Drosophila melanogaster: one gene and its partners. The protein of the gene in region 2 interacts with the protein of the main gene of each other region in a pairwise test. Each region holds a gene or a part of one and is shown on either strand. Other genes may lie near its edges.

Region 1 (6,947 bases), on a different chromosome or scaffold from region 2:
AATGTCTCAATTAGCGGAGGACGAATCCTCAAATGCAAGGGCGGTGGGGAGTATACATATATTCGGGAAAGTGGGTGGCAGCGAGGCGCCCGACAATGTCGCGACGCTTCCTATTCAATTTGAAAACCAAATGAAGCGTTGCCTCCGCCAAGGAGCAATTTACTCAGTGCATTGAATTGACCATATGGTTGGACACCCACCGAAGTCACCCACACGCCATCCGCACCACCGCCCCTCGAGGCATTTAGAATGGCCAACCCACCAGTTACAGGATCCCTTAAATTTTCGTAAAAAGCTTTAATGCACTCAAACAAGTTCTACACCATATTGTACTGTAAAAGATTTCAAAAAAGTAACTTTTTTTAAATCACTGTATACTTCATATGGAATATTTTTAGAGATTAAAATATTTATTTCTTTTTTTTTTATTTATTAGAAATCAAGTTCTAAATATACTATTTTATTTTTGTCATTAATTATTGTTGGAAATAAAGATGTATGAATAAAATATTTATTTTAAATAAACTTATGAATTTCGAATGCAAATCCATTTTTTCCGGTGCAATTGTAGGGTTTTTTATATAGTTACTCGCGCTGCTTTGCTTTGACCTTTGCGATGACGTCGGACCGGCGTCGGCTACCTCAAAGAGAGAGCAATGTAAACAGAGAAAGAGAAAGGCAGAGAAAGCAAGAGAGAGAACCAGTGGGGGAGAGAGCCTGGTGAATAAACAGCATGGTGAGAAGCGGTTCCTACGCGAAGAGTGCAACAAATGTTTGGTGGACAACTTCGGGCCAACAAGGTAAATGTTAAGGCATACACGATGGCTGAGTGGGTGAGCTTGTCGTTGGGTGGTTTTAGCGGGCGGTGGGTTAGTTGGGCGGGCTGCTTAGTGGGGTGGTTGCTTTTCGGCCCGTGACGCGTGGGCAGCGACAAAAGCGGGTGAAGCTATGTCTTGCCCTTTTTTTCGGCATACTGGCATACATAGCACGGCGAATTATTTGTGTGTGCCGATGTGCGGATATACAAATGTGTGCCTTTATAAGTGTGCTTTTATCAGGGTGCGTCAATCTAAGCCAAGTTCTGAATTTACGAAAGTCTTGAAATGCCAAGTATATTCTTATAAAGGTTTAAGCGCTAAAAGGAAATCAACAGTCCGCAAAAATAGCTGATCTTAATATTTCTTCTATTAAAAAAAAAGCACTTAATTTTAGTTCAGATCTTTACTTAGTTTAAGTCCTATATGCATGAACAAGTTTAATCAATATTGAAGTTTTTTATATTTAGCTTCGAACAAATTGCTCCACCCTAATGCTCCTGTATCCTTGTTCGCGATGAGCGTATACCCAGACAACGAAATGTCACAGCAGCCTACTTATGCTTTTTTCGCATCGCGTTTTATCCCCAAATGTGTGTGCGATTTTTGGTTCAGCTTTTTGGCATATGGTCGCCGTGCCGGAAAAGTGGGAAACCGGTAAGGGGGCTGCTTTCCCATTTGCAGTTTGGCTGAAAAGCTGTTTCGCTTATTTCCCTCTTTTTTAGTCAACCGTTTCTAGATAAATATTTTGCAACACCGCATCGCATTTCCATGATTAGCAGATAAACATATGCCAAGTTGCAAACTTGGCGTGTGTGTTCGGAGTGTAGAAGTTTAGAGAATCCCTGGGTAGTGGGCGGTTATACACGCGACTTTAATTGAGCTTTCAAGAGGACTAAGTTAAACATACAAATGTTTGCTTAGGATGCAACAGCTGTTGGCTGTGAGTTAAAAATTGTTCGAAAAAAACCTCTTTGGAGAAGTGGAATATCTTAAAATATTTAAATTTAAAATTTGATTTAAAACAATAAATGACGTAAGGTTTTTAAATTATAGTATAAAAATACTAGATTAATCGAAAATTAATGAAGTTTTGTATACCGCATTGAAACTGTGTATCTAAAGCTTTTAACTATTTAATGCCCAAAATTGCCTAATAGCGGTTCAGTTTAAAATAAAAAAAAATTTAATTACCCGTTATTATCACAAAATATATTCCTCACTAACTAAAATCCTTTTATCTTTAACCCCACACCCATTGTCATTCCATTTGGTTGGAATGTAACGCCTGCCCTTAATTCAATTAACTTTAATGAACCAAATTATAATTGCAAATAAATTATCTTATTAAAGACGCAGAAAGTTCGCACTCTTGCCTTTTAGTAGCACTAAAACTCTGAAAACGGCGTCAAGGCCAATTAGAAAACTTTGTCCAAACATCTCACTACCAAGAAGGACGAAACTGAAACTTATCTTTTGGATCAGCAAGAGCCCATTTTCACCCAAAAAAACCCCGTGTGTCTGGGCGACAATCTAGCATATGCCAAAGTAAAAAGCTCACCAAAGTCAAACTCGATTAAAAATGCATAAATGCAATTAAACGCAAATGGAAATCGAACCAAACTCGCAAAAGCTTCAAGCGAAAACGCCTCGAGGTGGAAAAGCCAAAGAGATACACTTTCCAAGAATTCCACTTTTTTCACAGACATTTGTTTTTAAGCCTAGAAGTTTAAAAGTATTAATGGATTTGCAACACATACAACATTAAATACAAGTGATTATATAATAATTTTATAATTATATAATTAAATTTTTTATTTAAATTAATTTTTACTCAGAAACATTTGATAGTACGGTATATACCCATAATTTTATTCAGTGTATGAAAGCAAAAAATGTAAAAGATATATGTAAAGAGGCAGTGGGCGGTGGGAGGAGGCCAGATATCCAAAAGACGCGACAAGTGTCGGCCGAGCTTTGTTTGGCGCAAAGAGAGCAGCGCACTTCGAAGAGCAAAAAGCGCGAAGCCAAAAATCCAAAGACGACCATAGATAGTAAATTGCAAAGTTTATGCCGCCAAGTTCATGAAATTGTAATAGCTTCATACCACGGTTATGCTTCACCAAAGTGGTCATACAATTAAAAAAATTACGTACACCTAACTTTAATCCATTAAACTCGTACATTTATAATTATAATTTCTGATTTGGCGGAATTAATGAACTAAGTACATCGTGCATTCATTTTGCTATTGGGTCCACGCATGAGCTTTGTAACAGTAAAAGAAGCCCTGACCATGCAGTTGCGTCAATGGGTGCGAGGGAGAAGGGTGAGTGTGGGAGCAGGAGGTGGGCTTGGGTATTAGAGAGAGAGAGAGTGGGAGAGCGCGAGAGGCACTGGTTGAGTTGGTTTTGCTGACTGCACTTGTTTTGCCATCGTAGTTATTGTTTTTGTTGCTTGCAACGTTTTGCTGCCACTTGGCCGCAAAGGCAACAAAAACAAACACACACTAATACACGTGCGCGTTATTGCCAATTCACCCACATACACACAAACAACAGTTAGCCGCCGCTTGTGTGTGTGTGTACGCTAACATATTGAACGCATTTTTTCATATTTCTCAATGGAAAAGCCAACTCTAAACACCGTTAATATCATCCATATTAGTTAGTTGTCATTTGTGAGAGAAGAAAATGTGAAAAACATGTAAATTGCTGGGCAAAATAATGCAACATATGCTAGCACCACACTCTGATATTATCAACTTACTTTGCAAGTATTTGCCTTTGAATTTGGATTTGATTTTGCTTTTGTTTTCTATTTATTTATTTGTTGCTTTTTGGTTTTATTTCTTGCTGCACTCACTAACACAGAAACACACACGTACGCGCTAAACACGAAAAGCAGCCAATATATTTTATTCGTTTTGATTTTCACTGCTTGGAAATTTTCGCATTTCCATTTTCGAAATGCGTAACAACAAGTATTCTGTGGTTGAACAAACAACGATTTACGCGAATATAATAAAATAACGATAAACGGTTATTACGATGGTTTCCGCTGGCCAAAAACCTGCGACGAAATAGTCAACTGAGGGGAAAACAAGTAACAATTGTACCTGCCGAATTTGTTTTTAAACGCTTGCCAGCTTTTCTGATTTTCCGATGCGAACGCGCGCGCTGCGAAAAACATATTCGAAGCGAGTCGGAGAAGCCCCTCTATATAGATTCTCTCCGGCGCTTGAAAACAATTCGCATTGAGTGAGTTACGAAAAGCGGCTGATTCGGGCGCCAATTTGCTCCCACGAATTCTGCACGCTCTTACTCCAACGCATTGGAATGCTCCGCGCTCTTGAGCGCTTTCTGCACTGTTCGCTCGCTAACGGTAGTTCATGTGACGTTAACGTAAAGCTTGTTTCATTGCTTCATTATTGCAATGCAAAAATTTACATTATTTCTTCTAACTTACCCATTAACCGAATTAAATCTAATATCTAACATCAAATAAGTCGTTATCTAAATTATTGTTTTAATTTTTTATTTGACCTGGGCTTTTCTATCGAATTCTATGTAATTCAATGCAAAAATTGAAGTTGTTAGTATTTTTTCTTTGTGCATAAGAGTAAGCAATTGTTGCTTTCGTGCGCTCTCTCTTTTTCACTATCTTTTAACCCGTTCGTTTGCGTGGGTGCCAGGGAAATTTCCACCCACTGAAAGTCCTAAAATTGAGTTATTAAGTGAATCAAGGGCCAGCAAGGTTTTTGAGCATAGTTATTTGAATGTCCAGAAGATCAGCTTATTACCAAATGCATTTATTTGATTACTCTATCATGTGACACTACGTGTACAAAAATTATATGAATAAGATATTTACGTAATGAAGCCGAGTACGACTTAACAATATTTTAAACTTAAAGCTAAATATACATTTTATAATTTGAATAAGAATAGGATTGGGAAATTCATATTTAAGGACGGGCTTAATATATAATATAAAATATCCCTTTTGGCGTCGACTGCGCTGCATTTCCTCTGCCGTCGTTTTTGTTCCAAAAATCGCGTGGGAGAGTGAGTGAATAAAGGAAAGGTTGGAAGAGGGAGAGGGAGAGAGTGAGAGTGAGTAGGTGAGTCCAGATTGAGTTATTTTTCCAAGCCTGCAACCTGTATGAAATTATGGCTCAAGAGGCCAAAAGCTTTACGCGGTTGAAAATTGTTGCTTTTGCGACGCCGGCCGAAATGCAAACAGCTGTTTGCAGAATACAACAAATAATAAATAACTTGAACTTCAAAGCAAAACGGAAGGAAGATTTCAATATTTCATGGAAAAAAAAAGAAAGAAACTGGCTAACAACTTCATACATATATAAATTTTAGTATACGTAATATTATTTGAAATCTAGGCAATTTTGTATTATCAAAGGTCAATTGAACAATATACATAAGTGGGAGAATCGAAAAATGACTCGTAATATAAGTCTAGTCCTGCTAATCCGTTTTGCAATGGACACCACATTATTCAAGTCAATTTCTATAAAATATATAATAAAATGATAATTGAAATTCATTTTCTAAGCTACGTTATAGATTGTAAATCTTTTTGTATAATTTATTTTTCAAAATACCGTTAATCCTTTTAAATGAACCCGACTGGGAGGATACATTTCTGTTGAAATTCTTACGTATGTAAATACTTCAATGAAATTGTTAACAAAATCTCCGTATAACACTAGTACTTACAAAACTTTTACAAGAGCTTAAGGAAAGCGTTAGCATATAACCAAACCATTGCGGTAGGTGTCCACGCTAAAATGTAAATTAAATGTGAAAGCCGGAAATACAGTTTCAAGTCATTTCCGGAACTATTCTGGAATCCATTCTATCCAAGTTACAACATAATAAACTCCTTAAAGGGCTATACAAATATTTGGACTAACCAAGTAAAGTTGGGTATGAAAATATTTTATTTTAATAACTGTATATTCCCTTAAAAATGGAATAGGAATAATTTCGCTGTCCTCATTATTTTGTCGCTTCTATGCCCCAACTTTGCAGAACTTTTTCGATGTTTTTCGCAGCCTTAACCACCACTCGAAGTCATTCTTGATGTATTTAGCTTTGACAGCACGTTCGCGTTGCTGCACAAATTCGTCGCGATCGCGCAGCCAAATTCTAGCGTACTCCCAGCCAATCAAGTGCGACATCGATACCGGACTGCACTGTAAAAAAAAAATTAAGCAACAAGATATTACCAGCATGTAAGAAATATTAGGAATTATTGACAACGGAACCAGGTGTGCTCGCTCTATATTGAGAATTTATTTTGTTGCCTACTTATGTGGGTTTTTCAAAGGGCAGGTATTAAATTAATTATTAAAAAATCCACTACTTTAAGATATTTAAATCAAAAGCAACTATGTATAGTTACCTCTAGCTCGCAGGACGGCACAAAGCGTTCTCGTTTTCCCGCTTCGGTGGTAAGATTATCCTTAGGCTTACATAGGCGAGCTCGCGACCATTCTTTGGTCTGCTTATTCATTTCATGAGGGGATTATTTATACCGGTTTCACTAAGATTTTGTCGGTGACAATGTATAAAAACTTAAGATTTTTGAAAACGCATTTCCTAAAGCGATAAATTTATGGATTAAGGTTCAGATATGTTTGAAGGAAAACGCGTTACAAGTAGTTTACATTTTTGTACATTTTTTCATTTCAATGTTTTGGGTTTTAACAAAGAAACGAAATAAAACAAATAATACAAGACTGAAAACAGTCATAACAAACTTGATGAAATTTTCCAAACCAAGCCATCCGAAGGACAAACAACGAAATGTTTCGAAGGCGTTTCCTTCAACCAACAAAGCCAACAAAAACATGTCCAGGACCAAGGAAAAGAAGAAGAAGAAGCGTAAATAAGAAGCAAAATTGAACCTGGAACTGAAAGACAAAAGGCAAAGAAGTATAACAAACTTTAAGTCAATACACCTACACAAAATACAACAAAACAGGGCGAAACAAAAAAAAACAAAATTAAATAGGAAAAGAAAAACTCGCCACTTTCCCTCCGCCCCGCCCCCCCTCTCAACCGAATAATAGAAGAAGCAGCACAAGAAAAACAAAACACGGCGACAGGC
Region 2 (10,126 bases):
CTTTTTCTACTCCGGCATCACAGGAACACCACTGGAGGCCTACATCTACTCGGGACCCGTGTACTACCAAAAACTGAAGCATATGGTGCAGGATAAGATGCATGCCCGTGCCCGGGGACCCAAGGCGGTGCTCACCCGTCAGCCGACGCAGGGCAGGAGTCGTGAGGGTGGCCTTCGTCTGGGCGAAATGGAACGGGATTGTCTCATTTCTTACGGAGCTAGTATGCTGATCATGGAGCGTCTGATGATCTCATCGGATGCCTTTGAGGTGGATGTTTGCCGGACTTGCGGCAGGATGGCCTACTGCTCCTGGTGTCATTTCTGCCAGTCGTCGGCCAATGTCTCTAAGATATCCATGCCGTATGCATGCAAACTGCTCTTCCAGGAGTTGACCAGCATGAATGTGGTGCCGAAAATGATTTTGGAAAACTATTAACGATGCAATGGCCTGAAACCGAATAAAATAATTGTTATATAATAATAATGGTTAATGATGGAAACTAGCTTAGGTTTTCCAATATTTTTGTAAAAACGAATGGTGTGTGAACTCTGGCAAGGGCAAAAATCCTACGCATTCATTAAGTTTCCATGACCGCGAGCTGCAAATGTCAAAATGAAGAGGTTCAAACGAAGTCAGCGAAAGAAAGTCCTCTTGAATTTTAACGAGGTCCTTTTGCATATCAGCTTTCTGTTCGTTAACAGGCAGACGCAAGCTGTTACTGAAAAGGACTGAGCCGTGTTAAATCGCTTATGTTATCCTTTTTTTTTATTGCGCAAAGGATAATTAGTTGTGTCTGCCCTTTTGGCCGAATTTAAAACGTCTGTGTCTGGACAAAAGATTAAGTTGTTAAGATGAAATGTTTTTTGTTATTCTGTTTCTTTGTTTGCTCTTTGTCCTTATAATCCTCTATCTTATGTGTATTTTGTTTTTTGGCTCAGTTAAACTAAACATTCTCGAGCGGCTTGATGCTTCTTAGTAAAACCAATATCGCCAGGCGTTGATTTATTGTTTTCCCTCGATATTGCCTATTGCCTGATTGCCCGTGAGGCAATTACCTGTCACCTGGCTTCGAGGTGGAGCTCAACCCAGATTCCGGCCGATGTGTCAACGTGTCCGTGGTCAATGCACCGCGGTGCATGCACGTGACCTGCGAACTGCAGGCGACACAGCCACCCACACAAGCCAATGTCCTTGTGCGTCCTTTCGAGTGACCTGCGCTTAAAATAGTCACAGCTACCACCCACTGCTGCTTCTCCTCCGCAGGACACGTAGAAGTTACTATGTGCAGTGCAATGACAGCAAACGGGGCAAACTGCCAGCAGCAGAAGCAGCATCAGCATCCGAGGAACCAATGGTGCGCACTAGGATGACAATTTAAGGCTGCCCCATCTCTGATCTCCCCCATACTTGCATGCCCACCTCTTTTCCGGGCTATTCAGTACCGTTTTATACGTGGAAAAACTTTTGAGAATTATATAAAGTTAGTTGATATTCGTATGACTAAAAGAAAACTACTCATTCCTATTTATACCTACATACCTTTATCCTTTATGGAATCCATTTGCTCAATTAGGCGCTGATAAGTATGCAATAAGTTATAGTTTTTATTAGTTTTTAGTATCATAACAGAATCTTTATTTTTCGCCGTGCACAAACTGATGAGAACCCAATCTGGGGCCACCTTCCGGCTTTGGCTTTCCTTTCATGTATTTTGGCCATTTGTCAAAAGTTTGCTTTTTGCTCTTCTTATCTGGACGGTTCGTTGATGTGTGCATGGCAATAGATGTATATAGATTTAAATGGGTGTTGGCCACTTGTGTAGAAAGTTAAGCGTAGTCCAACTGCTCTTTTGGCCGGGTTCCAAGCGGGCGAGGGGATTTCGAATTGACAACACCGGATATCATTGGGCTGATAATGCGCAACCCCTCCCAATGGACTAATTGAATCCGAAAGCACCTTCCGATGGAAATAGAGATTAGATTGCTGGAATCACCTTAACTTTTCAGCCAGGATTGTTCCAGCAAACTCTTTGTGTTTTCTAGGGACTAGGCCACAGCCAAATGTTAACATATTCAGCGAGAGAGAACGTGTTTTTGACTATGTTTGTTTTCTCTTTGTAAGCTTTATGTTTCAATATATTTAAAATTCTAATCTGTTTAGTGTTTTCTTTTAGAAGCACATTATTACCTATTTTACAAAAAATTGATACAATATTAATTAATTAAATAACCAAAATCTACAGGGAATAATTTATAAAAAAAAAAATATAAAAAAAAAAAGTGTTAGGCTTCAAAAATATGTTTACTTATCATGATTAAAAAGAAACATGGCCAATAGGACATAAAACAAATATTATTTGAACCTATCAGTTAACATTCATTTAAAAGCGAGCACTCGCAGTTCGAACTCAACATCTGTTAGAAGCCCTTTCTCTGCGTATAAAAGGCAGTGCTTTTGAGCAAAACGCGCTCATTTCAAAACCGGTGCTCATCGCAACGAAAGCTCCGCTGCGGAGCCGAGAAAATATTGTTAATTCCCATTTGAAGTGCAGCTTGTGGAAGGAAATTCCAAGTTTGTTTGTTCGGACGCCGAGTGCAAGTGCAAGAAGCAAGCGAAAAGTAATCAAATCTATAGAAAAGTCATTTAATGTGGAGCAATTAAGCCTGGAAATAAAGTGCATAGTGAATAAGTAATTTAGTTGGAGCAAACAAAGCCATGGAGACTGCAGCGAACTCGGGCGACTCCAAAAAGCCTTTCAAAGTGAGTTCCCCCTGTAATTGTAAATGGAAATAAAGGCCGCAGACGAACAATTGCATTTTAAGTGCATGCATTATTTTCCTGGCATGTCCATTTTTGGGCGTTGTTGTTTTCGCCTTTGTTGTTGTTGGCCGCGTGCTGCGTTCGCTACTTTTTTTCCTTTTTTTTTGGATTCTTATGGAAACTGGGTTGAACTTCAGAACTCAAGAGAGCCAAAAGCTCAAGCTAAGAGAGTGCCGAAAGCTCAGTAATAAGCATTAACTGCCTGAAATTTGACTTTGCAAATTCAAAAACACTATTTAGTTGCTTTCTTTCTCTTTGTCCTTTTTTTTACATGTTTGTCTAGCTTTGCATTTGCCTTTTGATTCGAGTATTGGGAATTGTTTGCCTTTAGCATTTGTTTTACTTGACTGCTGGGCCATTGTTTCCTGTTTAATTTGTTTATCTGCCGCTTAAACAGCAGAAAGCTGTTTAAAGTATTATGGGGATGTAAAAAACGTGCTTAAGGTTGCAGAAAACCACTGGAAGTACATGCAGCTGACAACTCAAAGGAAACCAATAAACCACAAAGCTATTTAAATTGTCTGTGAAACACAGAAAACAACTTTCGTAAAACATGACTGGAGATAACATCCAGGAATTCCCTCCCCCACTTTATCCATTAAAATGCCGCTCCTTATTAAAATATTTAATTCAAAAACCACCAAACGCAAATCGGCTTAAAAGCTGTCAAATACCATGACAGCCATGAAAATGCCATTAAAAAGGGAAAACTTTTCATCCCGACATGTCGCTGTAATTAGCCAACAGCCACGCCCACGACCCGCCTCAGGCATTTTGTTAATAATTTATTAAACAATCTACATAATGCCGCGGCATAGTTCAAAAGCAATTTAAAGTTGTCGCCTAATTTCCCCAGCGACTCGAAAATCTGCGGCCTACGCCCATCAAATATTAAAATGTCCTGCGACTTGTGGATTCTGCCCGCATCTTGGATGCAGATGATAGAGTTCCTGGCACGTCTCCTTCGGCTGCTCCTAAAACGGAGCCAGACGCCGGAGGTCGTTGCACGTTCATCTACGTACGTATGTGTGGACCAGGACCCTCGGGTCCTGATGGCTGAGCAGCTCGAGTTAGTTGAGATTTATAAGCCCTCAACTCGCTGCTGCTCTACCAATTTGCCCAAGTCGTTTTGCATACACTTTTGTGTATAAACTGGTCTTCTAGAAAAACACTTAACTGATTTCATCTAGACTTTCACATACATTAGCCTGAACTTGTAGTGATGCTAGTTTGGAAATTTGTATCTTAAACAGTAGCAAGTAGGTAACATTTGTGTTTGCTCATTTCAATATTTAAATATTATTCTTATATTTAAATATTAAAAAATAAAGTTTTACTTACCACGATGTGCCAAAAATTTGCTCTTAATGATATAACCTAATAGCATTTCCATTCAAGAAACAACTTGAAACACTTTTGAAACATGTTTACTTTCCGAATAAATCTTGTTTCTGATTTGTATAAGCTTTGTATAATTTTGCGGGTAATTAGATAAACTGCTAATTGAATTGCGACCGCTTGAAAAATCGACGCCACTTGAAAAATCAACTAATGCGATCGACTAAAACTTTTGACAAGTTTCCGAACAAAAACTATGCTTTTGTTTTCGATGCTGCCGCGACTCCCACTTGTCAAATGCGCCAGTAGTTGGGCAAAGTTTTCATTGTTACAAAGTTCTAGCCCCACACGCCGCATTCATGATATGATTAATATTTGGAGCTTTCGCGGCACAAAAGTTATGTGGCTTTAAGTATTTATAAGATAATTTAGGGACGACCTCCTCCGCTATCTGAGCAAATGGAATTGGGATGATAGAGCAGCTAGGCGCACGAGTAAAATGAAATGTTCGAAATGCAAACTCGAGTACAATTTCATTTAGTCACGGTGCTCTCAAATATTCATGAAGGACCTCAAGGAGTTGCACGCTGTCCGACGTTTCGGGGCTATAAATTCTGGGTGGAATGCATTCGTGCCGCTTGCTCCCTTAAAGTTGCGCCTCCTTGAGCCTCCATCTGGACGGGTCTAATTTATGTTTCGTTTAACCTTAGTGCTGAGGCATCATTTAACATCGCATGCAAGTTTAATAGAGCCAAAGGCTTGCGTCCTTCGTCCTTGCAACCGGCGAACAGCACTAACCTATGGCATTCGCGAAGGAGCATGCAGCATGAAGAATGCTGACATGCATAACTTGTCAAATAAAAAGAAAATTTAAAAGGATACGCCAGGGAATCGGGGAGTGGGAGATAAACGACAAATATTTGCACCGCAGCTGCTAGAGTGCATGTCAAACTGCGTTCGAGATCTCGAGCAAAAGTAGAGGAGCTCATGGAACTCGGCATTCGCAACTGAAATATGCACAAAGTCGTCGGGCTGTGGGAGGCACTTTAAGGTGGTGACATCCCCCACCGGGAAAAAGCCGTCCATAAATCTCAATTAGAGCAAATGGACATTTGACAGCAGGACATGACGTGGTCGCAAATATTGCGTTCATTTATTCATTGCGATTTTTCGGGGAATGGAAAACAATCAGCGTCGAAATGTGGTTGTGTATTTATTATTTAGCAACTTGCGCTACTATTTATCTTTTCTCTTTGTTTAATGGAATTTTCAAAGATTGCCTAATTAAATAACTATAAAAACAGGGTAAAGTTTGCGTTGAAAAGAGAAACAGACTGAATAATTAAGTGCAAGCGGGAGGATAATGAATAAATCAGGCGGAAAGTTTCCATAGTTTCTCCATTCCGTTCACGTTGTTGTCTCAAGAAAAAGGGTGCAGCTAAAGGAAAATTTACAACTTTTCCCATTTCGATGTTTTTCCGTTTTCTTATTTTGGGTGCCGACGATGTGAATATTTTATAGGACCTCAGTTGTTTCCCATCTGACATTAATTTATTATTCATTTGATGAGCGGGGCCATGTGTAACTGCTACTGTCTCCGTAATTGCAAACGTGTAATGGTTTATTATTCCCTTTTCCCGGCACTGTCCTTCTGCGTTTTTATGGCCAGGTCAAGGACGTAACACGCAACATTAAGAAGGCTGTCTGCGCCTCCAGTCTGGAGGAGATCCGCAGCAAGGTGGCGGAGAAGTTCGAGAAGTGCGACCACCTGCCCACCATCCACCTGGACTCCGACGGCACGGAGATCGATGATGAGGAGTACTTTCGCACCCTCGACGAGAATACGGAACTGGTGGCCGTCTTTCCCGGAGAACATTGGATCGATGTGAGTAGCCCTTAAATAAAAGGAAAAGGAAAACAGGCACTTAAAAATAATTATATCAGCACCTTTTTTATTTAAATCACCTCAATAAATTCGTTTTGCGATTGTGTAATTTTCATTTCTCAAAGTGAACACCGCTTAATTGGATAGCTCATTTTATGTGTCCCTCCTTTTATCTGCCATAATGACTAATTGCATTATTTCTTGAATGCCATGAAAGAGCTCCATGAGCATGGGACCAAAGCCAGGAAGATTAAATTAAATGCTATCTGCACTCTGTTTATAGCCCACTCACTACGTGACGATAACCACTCCACATGGCAACGAGGCAGGAACTGGAAACGGAGAGCTGAACGGAGGAGGCGAGGGCGACACCACCGATGCCAACAACTCGGAGTCGGCTCGCATCCGCCAGTTGGTGGGCCAGCTGCAGAACAACCTCTGCAACGTGTCCGTGATGAACGATGCCGATCTGGACTCACTCTCCAACATGGATCCCAACTCGTTGGTGGACATCACGGGAAAGGAGTTTATGGAGCAGCTCAAGGATGCGGGAAGGTGAGTTTAATTCCTTTCCCATATACCACTTAATTGTAGCATGATTTCATGACTTTAGGCCATTGTGTGCCAAGCGGAATGCCGAGGATCGTTTAAATCTGCTGAAGCTATTGAAAGCTGGTGCCATTTTCTGCTCGGAACGTTATCCCGAGGATGCGGAGGCCATTGACCGGGAGATTGGACGGCAGTTGAACGAGGCGGAGAGTGGACAGATGAGCACCACAACGACGAGCAACACCCGCACCATCGAGGTGGTGCAGTGCGACAATCAAAACACGACGATAACAATTACGGTGGGCGAGGCCACCACCACTTGCGCCACAGCCAGTGGAGCGATGGGATCCTCCGCTGCCGAAGCGGCTGCCAATGAGGCCAATGCCAATCCAAATAGAAATCCAAATGCCAACGGCGACATCTGACTGCCCATTTTGGGCAGTCTTAGGTAAAGTCTGCCGGCGGAAAACTAACGCAACTGGGTGCGCCAATCAAAATCAAGAGCCAAAAGGATATACCGAAGACATCAGTCCTGCAACATTGGGTTAACATAAATCGTATTTGTAGCATGTAATTAGGCACTGCGAAATCAGCAAAAACGAAACGGAGACGAAATCAAGTCATTGAAAATGCTTCATAGTATCTAAGAGCAAATGAAAGTTAACGAACAATACACGTACTAGATTTAAACACCGGGTCACGAGGCTCAAGAGAACAAGAGGCCCGCGCAGATTTGAAAAGTCTTTTAGCAATCACAGTCAGCGGAATCGTATTTAACCGCATATACACGAGTCACACCAAGCCGTACTAGATGAATAATAATCAAAGGTTAGCGAAATAAGTATTATACTTGAGGTAGAATCCCACAACCAGAGCGAACCCCAATTGGATGGAGTTGTCCCAGGAAACTGTTGATTTGCTTACCGTGTAAATTGTGTTACGAATAGTAGGTAGAGTGGAAACGCACATCAAATATTGTTTTTAGACCAATGCCATTGTGAATGTCATTCGTTAAAGGCCAATTGAGACTGACTGAATTTATGTGTAATAGGTTTTTTCGTGGTTTGAGCGGTTCGGGAAAGATCGGATGGAAGCCTCCAGCGCTGCTGCCCTGTCCTCCCAGAATCCCCGTCTTCCCGCCCCCGAATCCATAGCCAAATGAATTTAAGCGACAGCGCAAACATTGTTAGCTAATTAAACAATAATGGAACACAATAACGCAAATTGCAATTGCCCAATCAAAGTTGGTAACTGTAACTGTCTACAATTCGAATAAGCAATAAGGGAAACCGTAAACGTAAACGAAATCTAAAACCGAATGCAAACAGTGAACAATTATTAAATATAGTGAAAAGCATACAGTAAATGCAAGTGAAAACCCCGAGGCAAACTATATACACGAAACCAAGTAATAAATAAATGATTATTAAACTAAAGTTGATTGAACTAGCATAACTGGCAAACGGGGCGTATGCGCAACGCACAAAGCGTGTGCAACAGGGCGTATGGACTGCATCCTGCTCTTCCGCTGGCAAAAGAGAGTTTCCCCTTCCTTCACCGCTTCTTCCATTTCCCTTTTTTCCAGTTCGAGAGAGCAAGAGAGTGGGAGTCCTACACCTGCTGCTGCCATATAATTGCATTACTCGACGCCATTCTCTTTTGCCATTCAACTTCCTTCGTGACGTCACTGCACCATGACGTTTGCAGGTCCTGGCTAGCTGATTGCGATGGCCTACTAACACAGTTCAAAGCTCCCGGGTGACCCAAATTCGTGACGACAGCGCCCCACAGCAAGGGTCTCTTTGTGGGCGTGGCCCTGGCTTTGATGAATTGAATCCAGCGTCCTGTGGCCTTTGCATACTCAATATCCCCTACTAACACAGCACATCCCTTTTTCGGTTCCCATTCCTTGGCTGCTCTTTTAATTTGCGCCCTCGACGATTTTCATCCTGCTGGCAGGGGAAAAAAGAAAAATCATGGGGCGAAAAGTGCCCAAAAATATTAAAAATGTAACTGAAAATCGCTTTGACTGCTTTTGATGTGTATGATGGCATTTACGGTGGGCTGCCTGGCCAAGAAATTGTCACACACACTTGAGTTTGTAATTCTTTTGATGTTGTCCTGCAGATTAAGAGGAAGTGCCGGAAGAGGAAATGGAAACTTAATCGAAAGCAATCTGAGCTTCGAGCGAACCGATTTTGGTCCTTTGAATAAAAAAAGACTCTTATTGAAAATTATTCAGTAGTCAGGCATTTTATTTAACAAGTCTAGTACGAATAATTTAGATAAAAAGTTATACAATTAGTTAGAAAATTACGTTCAAGTAAAAATCTTAAGACTTCATTTCAAGTAAATTTTGTACGTTTGTTTCCTAAACGTAGACAACAATTTTTAACACGGTAATTTCGAACGCTTCATAGGTTGCTTGCGGTAAGCACCACCAAGTACTTTTCTGGACGAGATCCGTTTCACCTTGAACAATCGACCATCTATCTCGGCACATGAGAAAAACTTGGTGCGGGCCGGAAAATAGATCGTGACAGTTCCGCACTTGGTACAGTTCACAGCGCGATCTCCGTAAAGAGTGCTTTTCCGTTTATGGATCCTTGCCCTTTTCCTTTTTTTCACTGATCTCGATGCTTTGCATTCTGGCTGCTTATATTTATGTTCCCGATTTAAAATCCTCGAACTACTGCAGCGCTGGGACTCTTGAACCTCTTTGGTTTCTTTCACATTTTCCTCAACGTTTTCAGGTGATTGCGGTAATGGAGGACCTCCTTCATCAGTTGCGGCTTGTGTTTCTACACTTGGAAGCTATTCAATTGCGTGAAATTCGTGTGTACGTTTGTGATGTGTCAATACTCACCGGAAAATTTTCTTGGCTCATTGTTTTGTGATATTTATCATCTACGACTTATCGTTAGAACGTGTGATTCGTAGAAAGGATTGTTTGTAAATGAGGGCTCCCAGTGTTTTAAGTAAGACAATAGAATTCAATGGGTCCTGAGTTTTCATGAATCGAGAATTTCCAGGCTGCCACGTTGTATATCTTGTTTCAAATCTTTCTAAATCTTAGAAAGAGCTGCAAAATTCGATGTTTACCAATAGCTTGCTAATTCAACTTGAGCTCTATGCTCTTTTGTAGCGATCCGAAACACTCGACAGTGGATTAATTTCGGTGGAAATCAAGTCAGGTATCACCACTTTATTTTGCAAAGCATTTGACCCCCCCTTACTTATACACAAATCCACCGTCTATGACGCTTGTTGCATGCACACACACGCAAACGAACGAGGACTATATGTCCTCCAAGCACAAATGTCAAACGTCTCACAAGAAAGAGGCGGCGGTGGCGGCGGAAAGTGGGCGTGGCAGGGTAAACAACATATCGAGTGAAGTCCTGCTTGGCTCGACTTACTAACGAGTCGCTTTTCCCCCAAACGAGGACATAATTCTCAACAATTTTTGCTGCTCGCCTTTTTATTTTCACATATACATATACTTTACACACATTTCCCCCAAAATAAAAGTC
Region 3 (7,312 bases), on a different chromosome or scaffold from region 2:
ATTTTAATTTTGAAGGTCACAACAAATTCCTCAAGTTCTAGATATATTAAGAATATTTCAAACACACATGAATTTTAATTAATTATAAATTTATGAATTTATAATTAATTTATGGTGAAATGTTTGTAAAACAAACATCTTTCTTTCGTGAGAAAGGAAGTTTACTTTATAGAAGTTCGACTGTAGTGGCAGCAACAACAGCAGCAACATCAACAGGTTGTGGCCAGCACACACACACACACACACACACTCATATGCACATCCCAAAGAGGGAAGAGAGGGCACCAGTGGGGGGAAAGAGATGGGGATGGGCATAGAGGGAGATGGAGCCACTCTCCTATGCACACTATACTGGTGACCTAGTTTTTGATGCCGTCGAACGCTGCTGCTGCGCTGTTGCCAAACTGCGAAAAAATCAGCTAGAAAAAAAAAGCACGCTAACACAAACAGCGATTTATATATGTGTACGATGTACATATGTACTGCCTAGCATATGTAAGTTTGTGTATCATTACAAGCAAGGCCAACAAAACACGGCCATGCACTCTCTAGAGAAATCCCTCCGTACGCACACATATACATCCAAAATACCCCCAATACATCCCATTTCCACCTTTTTCGAACTGGTCTCCACCAAAGTCGGGCCTGGATTTTCTATATCAATGGTAGTCAAATAACTAGTTTTAAATGCCATTCTAAGCAGTTCATTTTTGAACTTTATAATATACTATACCATTAAAATAGAAGTAATTTAACATTGGGTGTGACATTACTAATGTATGGAGTGGTAGACAATTTGTTAAACCAATTAAGTACCGGAAATGTCATTCATTTCGATTTTGAGCCGAAGGATTCTAGTATAAAATAGTAGCTCTTAGTGATAAATAAGTATCCATTTACAATTTTACGAAATAAAATAAAATGCCAATTCACAAATGAGCTGGATTAATGTATATCACAAACATTGCATAAACACCGACTCGCATTACTCTAAAGTAGGCTCGAATTTCTAGATAAGGCTTGAAAAACGATAATTCGGTTGAGTGTAAAGAATCTTGTATCTATAATATTGTTCAGTAGCTGGGGTATAATAAATGATACCATAGCAACGTTGATATTATATTCCAGATTACGATTGGGCATTACTTCTCAAACTTTGCTAATAGCTTTGATATCCCAAAGTTTGATAAACATTGTGCATTAATTGGAGGAAAACGTTAGCTAGCCTAGTGCTCAACTCACCATCATCTGGGCGTGGAGCTGCAGGTTTGTCTGTCCGGACATCCATCCGCTGCTGGCCAAAGCCTGGACGGTGGCCTGCGATAACATCCTGTTGTTGCCCTGCGACTGCTGGAGCATCGACGCCGCTGCCGCCGCCTGGGAATTGAAGGCCGCTACCGCGGCTGCCCCAAAACTATTTGCCGCATTCGCCACACCATTGGCGCCGGCGGCAGCTGCTGCTGCGGCGGCGCGTTGCTTCATCAGATGCTGTTGATGCGCCGTCGCCGCTGCTGCGGCGGCAGAGGCAGCGTGCTGTTGCTGAGATTTTGAGGTCACCTGTTGGCCACCAGCGGTGTTCGCGGAGGATGATGCGGCTGATGTGTTCTGGCCCATGTTGCCGCCGCTGGAGGAGGAAGGGCCGGACGATCCGGAAACGGAGGTGGTCACTTTTGGAGGCGGCGCCGAGGGTTGACGGGTCCAATTGACCGAGTTGTTGACATTGGCCCGATTGCCAATGAGCAGATTGGAGTCAACCACCTTGCTGGGCCAGTAGTCCTCGAATTCGGTGCCATTTGGGAAGTAGCTTTTGATGTCCGTCAGCGAAATCACGGCCACGTTCTCGCTGGAGAAGAGCTCATTGCGTATGCCCTGCACCTTGCAGCAGAACTTTAGATAAGCCAGGTCCCAGCCATTGAGCAGCTCCGCTTTGGTCTTTAGATTCTCGGTCTCGCCCTCAAAATAAAAGAGCGGCACAACCTGCTGATTGTTGCGCACAGTGTAGGGCACCACGGACTCCTTGTTGATGCGAATAAAGCCGCACTTCTCCGACGGCGTCTTGCTGCCGGAGACTAGTTTCCTATAGCAAATATCCAGGAACTGATAGAACTTGGATGCGTCACTGAGACGCACCACCAAATCCTTTTGGTTGAAGATGTCGCGACCGAACTCGCCGTCACAATGCTTATGATTAATCTCGATGAAGAGACGGGCCTCCGCATCGGTGATGTAGTAGCTGCGCACGCAGGTGCAGCTGGAGTAGATATCCGGATGCAGGCAGTTAAGGTATTTGCCCAGCAGTTTCAGTTCGATCATGCGCACGGAGCAGTACTTCTCCGATTGGCGATAGATGTACGGTATGGATACCTTGCCGAACTGAGCCCAGCCGAAGTGGCCTTGAATGGACTCCTCGTCGCAGGGTCCCGTGGAGGACTTCTTGTCCGAGCCGGAGTCGCTGACGGCTCCATTCGAGCGGCCATTGGAGGCCAAGGCGGGCACCACCTGCATGGTGCCGTTGGGTAGTTTCTGATGACGAGATAGGTAGTTCATGATATTGGTCTGGCCATTGCCATTTGTGATCGGCGGCTGCATGTTGCCACCGGCCGAGGATGCCGCAATGGCGCCCCCATTCGAGTGCTGCATGGCCGCTTGACGGGATGCCTGCTGGGCGGCCTGTTGCTTCTGCTGCTCCTTCATTTTGGCAGCTAGTTCGCGGATCTCGGCGTCATCGGGACGCTCCTGCTTGACGGGCGGTCCCAGGGGACCGCCCAAACTGTTGCCGTGGAGCGGTAGGCTCTGGCCATTGGCATCGATGACGCTAGTGATCTGCACATCCTCGCTGGCCATCGCTCCTCCGCACACTCTCGCTCTTTTGCTCTAGAATGCTGTCTTGCTCGCGCTCTATGTAATCTTGCGTTATCGTACTTTTCCAGACTTTTCGATATCCACACTTTTGGTTTGGTTTTATATTAGGAGCTGTATTGAAAAATTTACTTGTTAGGATGACAGTTCGATTGGTACTGCCAGCATTTCAATTTGATATGTTATTTGTGTATGTATTTATATATATGCTCATATATGTCAATATATATTTAACAAAGACTGCATTATGTCTTACTGATTTTTTTAATTATTCACACATCAAAATGAAATTCTTTTGGCAAGTGTATTTGTTATTTAAACAGAACTATAAAAGAAATAAACAGCCGGCTTGTTCGATCCTTCTCTTTCTGGCACACAAACGGTCACACTGACCGGCTGTCTCACACACACACACACACACACACACACGTGATAATTTTTTTAGATGTTTTCCTTTGCAAGTGTGCGTGTGTTAATGCGCGCACTTATTTTTGTTGTTTTTCGAGCTCATTTCAACATTTTGCACACAATGCTATTGCTGTTGTTGTTTTTGGCATATAAATTATACATTATGTATGCATGTGGTACACTTACACAAACAAACGCTAACTGCATTTTGGCAGTGTGGCAAAAAAAAAAACAAAACTATTTAATGCATTTGTTGTTATATTTAGTTGCTGCTTTCTCTCTCCTCGTTTGCTTTTGGTTTATTAAATTCCTTTTTGTTGTTTTTGCGACGACGCTCGTGGTGAAAAAAAAAAACAATTTGTTTGGTTCTCTTTTCTTTTGATATTCGCACTTTTTCGCTAGTTTGCTTTAGCGCTTGTTCCGCATTCGACGCCGACGCACGTCCGCCCGTCTTCGCAATACACAAACGAGTGTGATCGTTGTTACGAAAATTATTTCAACGAAGTCAACTGAAAAATGTGTACGGCACACACACAAACCTACAGCCGTGCGCTCACCCACACTGGCGCAGCGCGCCGGCAGCGACGCCTACTGCGGCAGCGGATGCAGAGCGCAAAAGAAAAACGGAAAACACGAAAGAGAAAAAAACAAACACCCGTAGCGCAGTCGGCGTCGCTGCAACGCTGCCACGAACATTTTGCCGAATTGTTGTTGCTGCTGTCCGTCTCCCTTTTGCGCCCCCACCCCCCTTCTTATGCATTTTCCTACTCTGCCATCGCTCTCTCTCACCCTATTCGGCTAGCCCCCTCCTCGACGAACGCCTGCTCTCTCTCTCTCCTTCCGCTCATCGACTAGCTCTAAGCTGCGACGCCGACGTCAACGTAGCTGCAGAGTTACAACCCACAGTGGTTAAGACATAAGCAACTTATGGAAATTAATTAAGGGATCTTAGCCAATTCAGTATGAAAGTAAAATTTTATAAAATAATACGAATTTATGGGATTACAAGTTTACCATTTGTTGAATATTTAACCTCACAATTAAGTTCTTTAAATACTCTACACATATGTATCTCGAATTTGAACTTTTTATTGTTAAACTTTCTCTCAAATTCGCATTATTTTTTAGTAACACCATCTGGGAATCAAGCAGATCAAAAAAGGCAAGCTTCTTTGTGGCTTACTCATATAAATGGTGTAAAAAATAATGCAAACTAGCTAAATTTACTTTAAAATTAGTGTTTCCTTGTTACATGTTTACTCTTTACATACAGTTGTACAAATTTATTTGTATATATTATTTCTCTATAAGAATATAATAATGCCATTTTCCCCTGGCATTTGAACCACGGTACAAGGAAAGCTTAAGCTATGCTATATACAAGACCCACACACACTGACACATGTTCACAGAGAGCTGGCTGGGTCACAGTATTGGTATTGGTTTTGGTATTGGTGGTGTGATGATGATGTTGTTGCTTTTGTGCGGGAGTGGGTGGGTGGGTGCTCTTTGTGGGCGAAGGCGTGGCGGGGCGGCTCTATTTTTGGCAAGCACCAAAAGCAAAAGCAAAGGCCCCTGCTTAGCATTCGATGGCCACCTCTCCTCGCTCTAGCCCTCTCCCTTTCCCACATGCCATCACTCTCCCCGTCCCTTTCGCACCGTCGAATGCAAGAAGTTTTCGGTATTCGCGCGCTCTGCGGCTTTCAAGACAGGCCCCGTTCCAGAAGGCAGAGAAAACCGGGAACGACCGAGCACGAACACGAACAAACGAATACACGAGTTCACGAACGGGCGCAGCTCCAAAAGGTCGCCCCGACTCTAAACATTTACCAAAAAAAAAAATTTAATTAGCCAGGTCCAAGAGTCCAAGTCAAATTCCATTGTGCCGCCATCATACGGGGCTAAAAAGTTAACTGCCAGTTAATAACGAGTCCCGCGAAGTACAGTCAGATCAAAACAGGTGTTATTTGGTCCCGAAAACTAAACGTACAGTTGCGCCAAAACACATTGTGATATGTATTTTACTTAATGCAATGTCCACTTCAATTTATTTAGAACCAACTGTAGCCTATTAAAGGTTCTACTTGTTTTCATTCAATCATATGCTTATGTGTGTAATAGGATTACACAATATAAACCGAAACGCAATTTATATATGAATGTACGTAAGTACACCAATCAGTTTTTAGGGTATTCAAAAGCCGAGTGTCAATGGAAGGCACTGCAGTTTATTGGTATCTCTCGGCTTTGGTTTCAGGTGTCTCCCGGGCTTTTTAGTTTGTACGGTACGAGACTCTCCAGTGCGTGGCTTTCTTTAATTCTTTCGTTCTACGGGCTCCCTGTTTCGTGGCATCTCTCTTGATTTTGAGTGGGGGTTTTGATTTTTGGTGTTTTGCTTTGCTAATTAGTCAGCTGTGCGTGAGTGTGTTTGGGTATTTCTTGTACTTTGTGTGGAAGATGTTTTTTGTTTTTTTTTTCTCTACGGCCATGTAAACCCCCTTCTAATAGTGCGGTATTCGTATTTAGTCATATGCTTAACTATGTACATAGATATATATGTATATACATATACATACATAAATCTATATGTACGAGGCTATGTGCAACGGTTAAAGTGTGCGAAATGTGCATCTGTAGTGGTGGGCATACGCATTCGACATCGTCAGTCGCCATCGATGCGAACGAAGAGTGTACGAGAGTGAGAGAGAGAGGGTGTAAGTGCGAGGGGTTGGGTAAGGGGAGAAAGAGGGAGACAGCGTGAGAAGCGAGCGTTACGAAAGGCCCCGTTTCGTGCGCGCTTTGCTATGTAAACACGACTAAACATGTGCCTGCATGTGTGCGTCTGTCTGCATGTATGAATCTAGGCGTACACATGTATGTATGTTTGCATGCGTGGATGTAGACCGTTCGTTTAACCATCAATGGGAAATATTGGATTGGGCGTTGGGTGGCTCAAAACGGGGGATTGGGGCGGTAGGCGGATGGTCGGCTCTGCCGTTTGCTATGATTTTGGCAAGCTTCACGATTGCGCAGGGAACAGAAAACCGATATTTGCTGCACAAAGAAGTAGAACTAGGAGGGCTTACCGAGCTTGATGATGTTTGTACATATATATGTACATATGTATGTATGTATATACATATGTATGGTGGCAATATACAAAAATACAAACGAACAAGAGATCTTACCGCTTAGAAACGGTTAAATTTTGCCAAAATTACGTTAGTAATATTGTTAATACTGCTGGATGTGTAAACACTTTTTAAACAGTCTTGGCTTTGACAGCGACTAATGGCTATTTACAATTTTTGTGCGAGTTGCTTCAGGAATTTTCTCTAACATTTTCTTGTAAATGCATTTGTGCCACCAAACGTTAATGGGGAAAGTCGTTCTACCATCTACATAGTTTCTTAACACAAACTTAAAATTATGCAGATTTGCTGCGTATCTCTTTGCCTCTATAAAATTACCCCACTCACTGCTCCTTTCATTGGGGACTCTGGCCAATCAATGGGGACCGGACATCCGTTCGACCTCGGCTCCCCCCAAGCGCGCAACGCCCACCACCCGCAGTACTTTCCACCGCAATCTTCCCACTCACATCACTTTTTTTCTGCCCTGCTTTCCTCTCCTCTTCTCCTTCTCCGCTGCACTTTGCTTTCTGCTTTCGGCTAATGCGCCCGCAGCACCTGAGAGCGTTACAGAGTGTTGGTGTGCCGGTGTTAATGTGAGCGTGTGCCCAACCCCCCCAAACCATCGCATTGCACCCACTTCTTTCAACACCCACCGCCCCATTGCCACCTTTAACCCTCTGTGTGTCAATTACCAAACGCTCTAAGTGAGTACTTTTTAGGTGGAAAACAAACATTCGAGTTGAAATGCTTGCGGTTATTTCTCTTCGGTTATCTTTTTGGAAGATACACTTTAAATGCGCTTGAACTTATGTCAGTATATGCATAGAAATTTGTGTTTTTCATGATTTCAGATTTTGAAATACGAACGCATAGGATTGGACAGTAATGCGGATGTTAAACTATTATGCTCC

The links.
Region 1: the proteins of Drep1 (region 2) and mtgo interact in a two-hybrid assay, tested with the Drosophila melanogaster proteins (one large-scale study listed by BioGRID).
Region 3: the proteins of Drep1 (region 2) and CG43736 interact in a two-hybrid assay, tested with the Drosophila melanogaster proteins (one large-scale study listed by BioGRID).

The regions. Positions count from the first base shown.
Region 1 is NT_033779.5:16,542,076-16,549,022, reverse strand, and holds the start of mtgo (miles to go), read right to left. Parts: upstream 4,008-6,947; 5' UTR 3,585-4,007; intron 1-3,584. Other genes in the region: CG31816 (uncharacterized protein), read right to left, coding at 5,848-6,030, 6,240-6,350.
Region 2 is NT_033778.4:12,042,148-12,052,273, forward strand, and holds Drep1 (DNA fragmentation factor-related protein 1), read left to right. Parts: upstream 1-2,464; 5' UTR 2,465-2,716; coding exon 2,717-2,761; intron 2,762-5,828; coding exon 5,829-6,044; intron 6,045-6,327; coding exon 6,328-6,599; intron 6,600-6,657; coding exon 6,658-7,018; coding exon of another isoform or gene 7,019-7,045; 3' UTR 7,046-8,025; downstream 8,026-10,126. Other genes in the region: Polr3B (RNA polymerase III subunit B), read left to right, coding at 1-436; CG30039 (uncharacterized protein), read right to left, coding at 8,985-9,407, 9,460-9,480.
Region 3 is NC_004354.4:6,864,922-6,872,233, reverse strand, and holds the start of CG43736 (uncharacterized protein), read right to left. Parts: upstream 4,008-7,312; 5' UTR 3,454-4,007; intron 2,974-3,453; 5' UTR 2,845-2,973; coding exon 1,243-2,844; intron 1-1,242.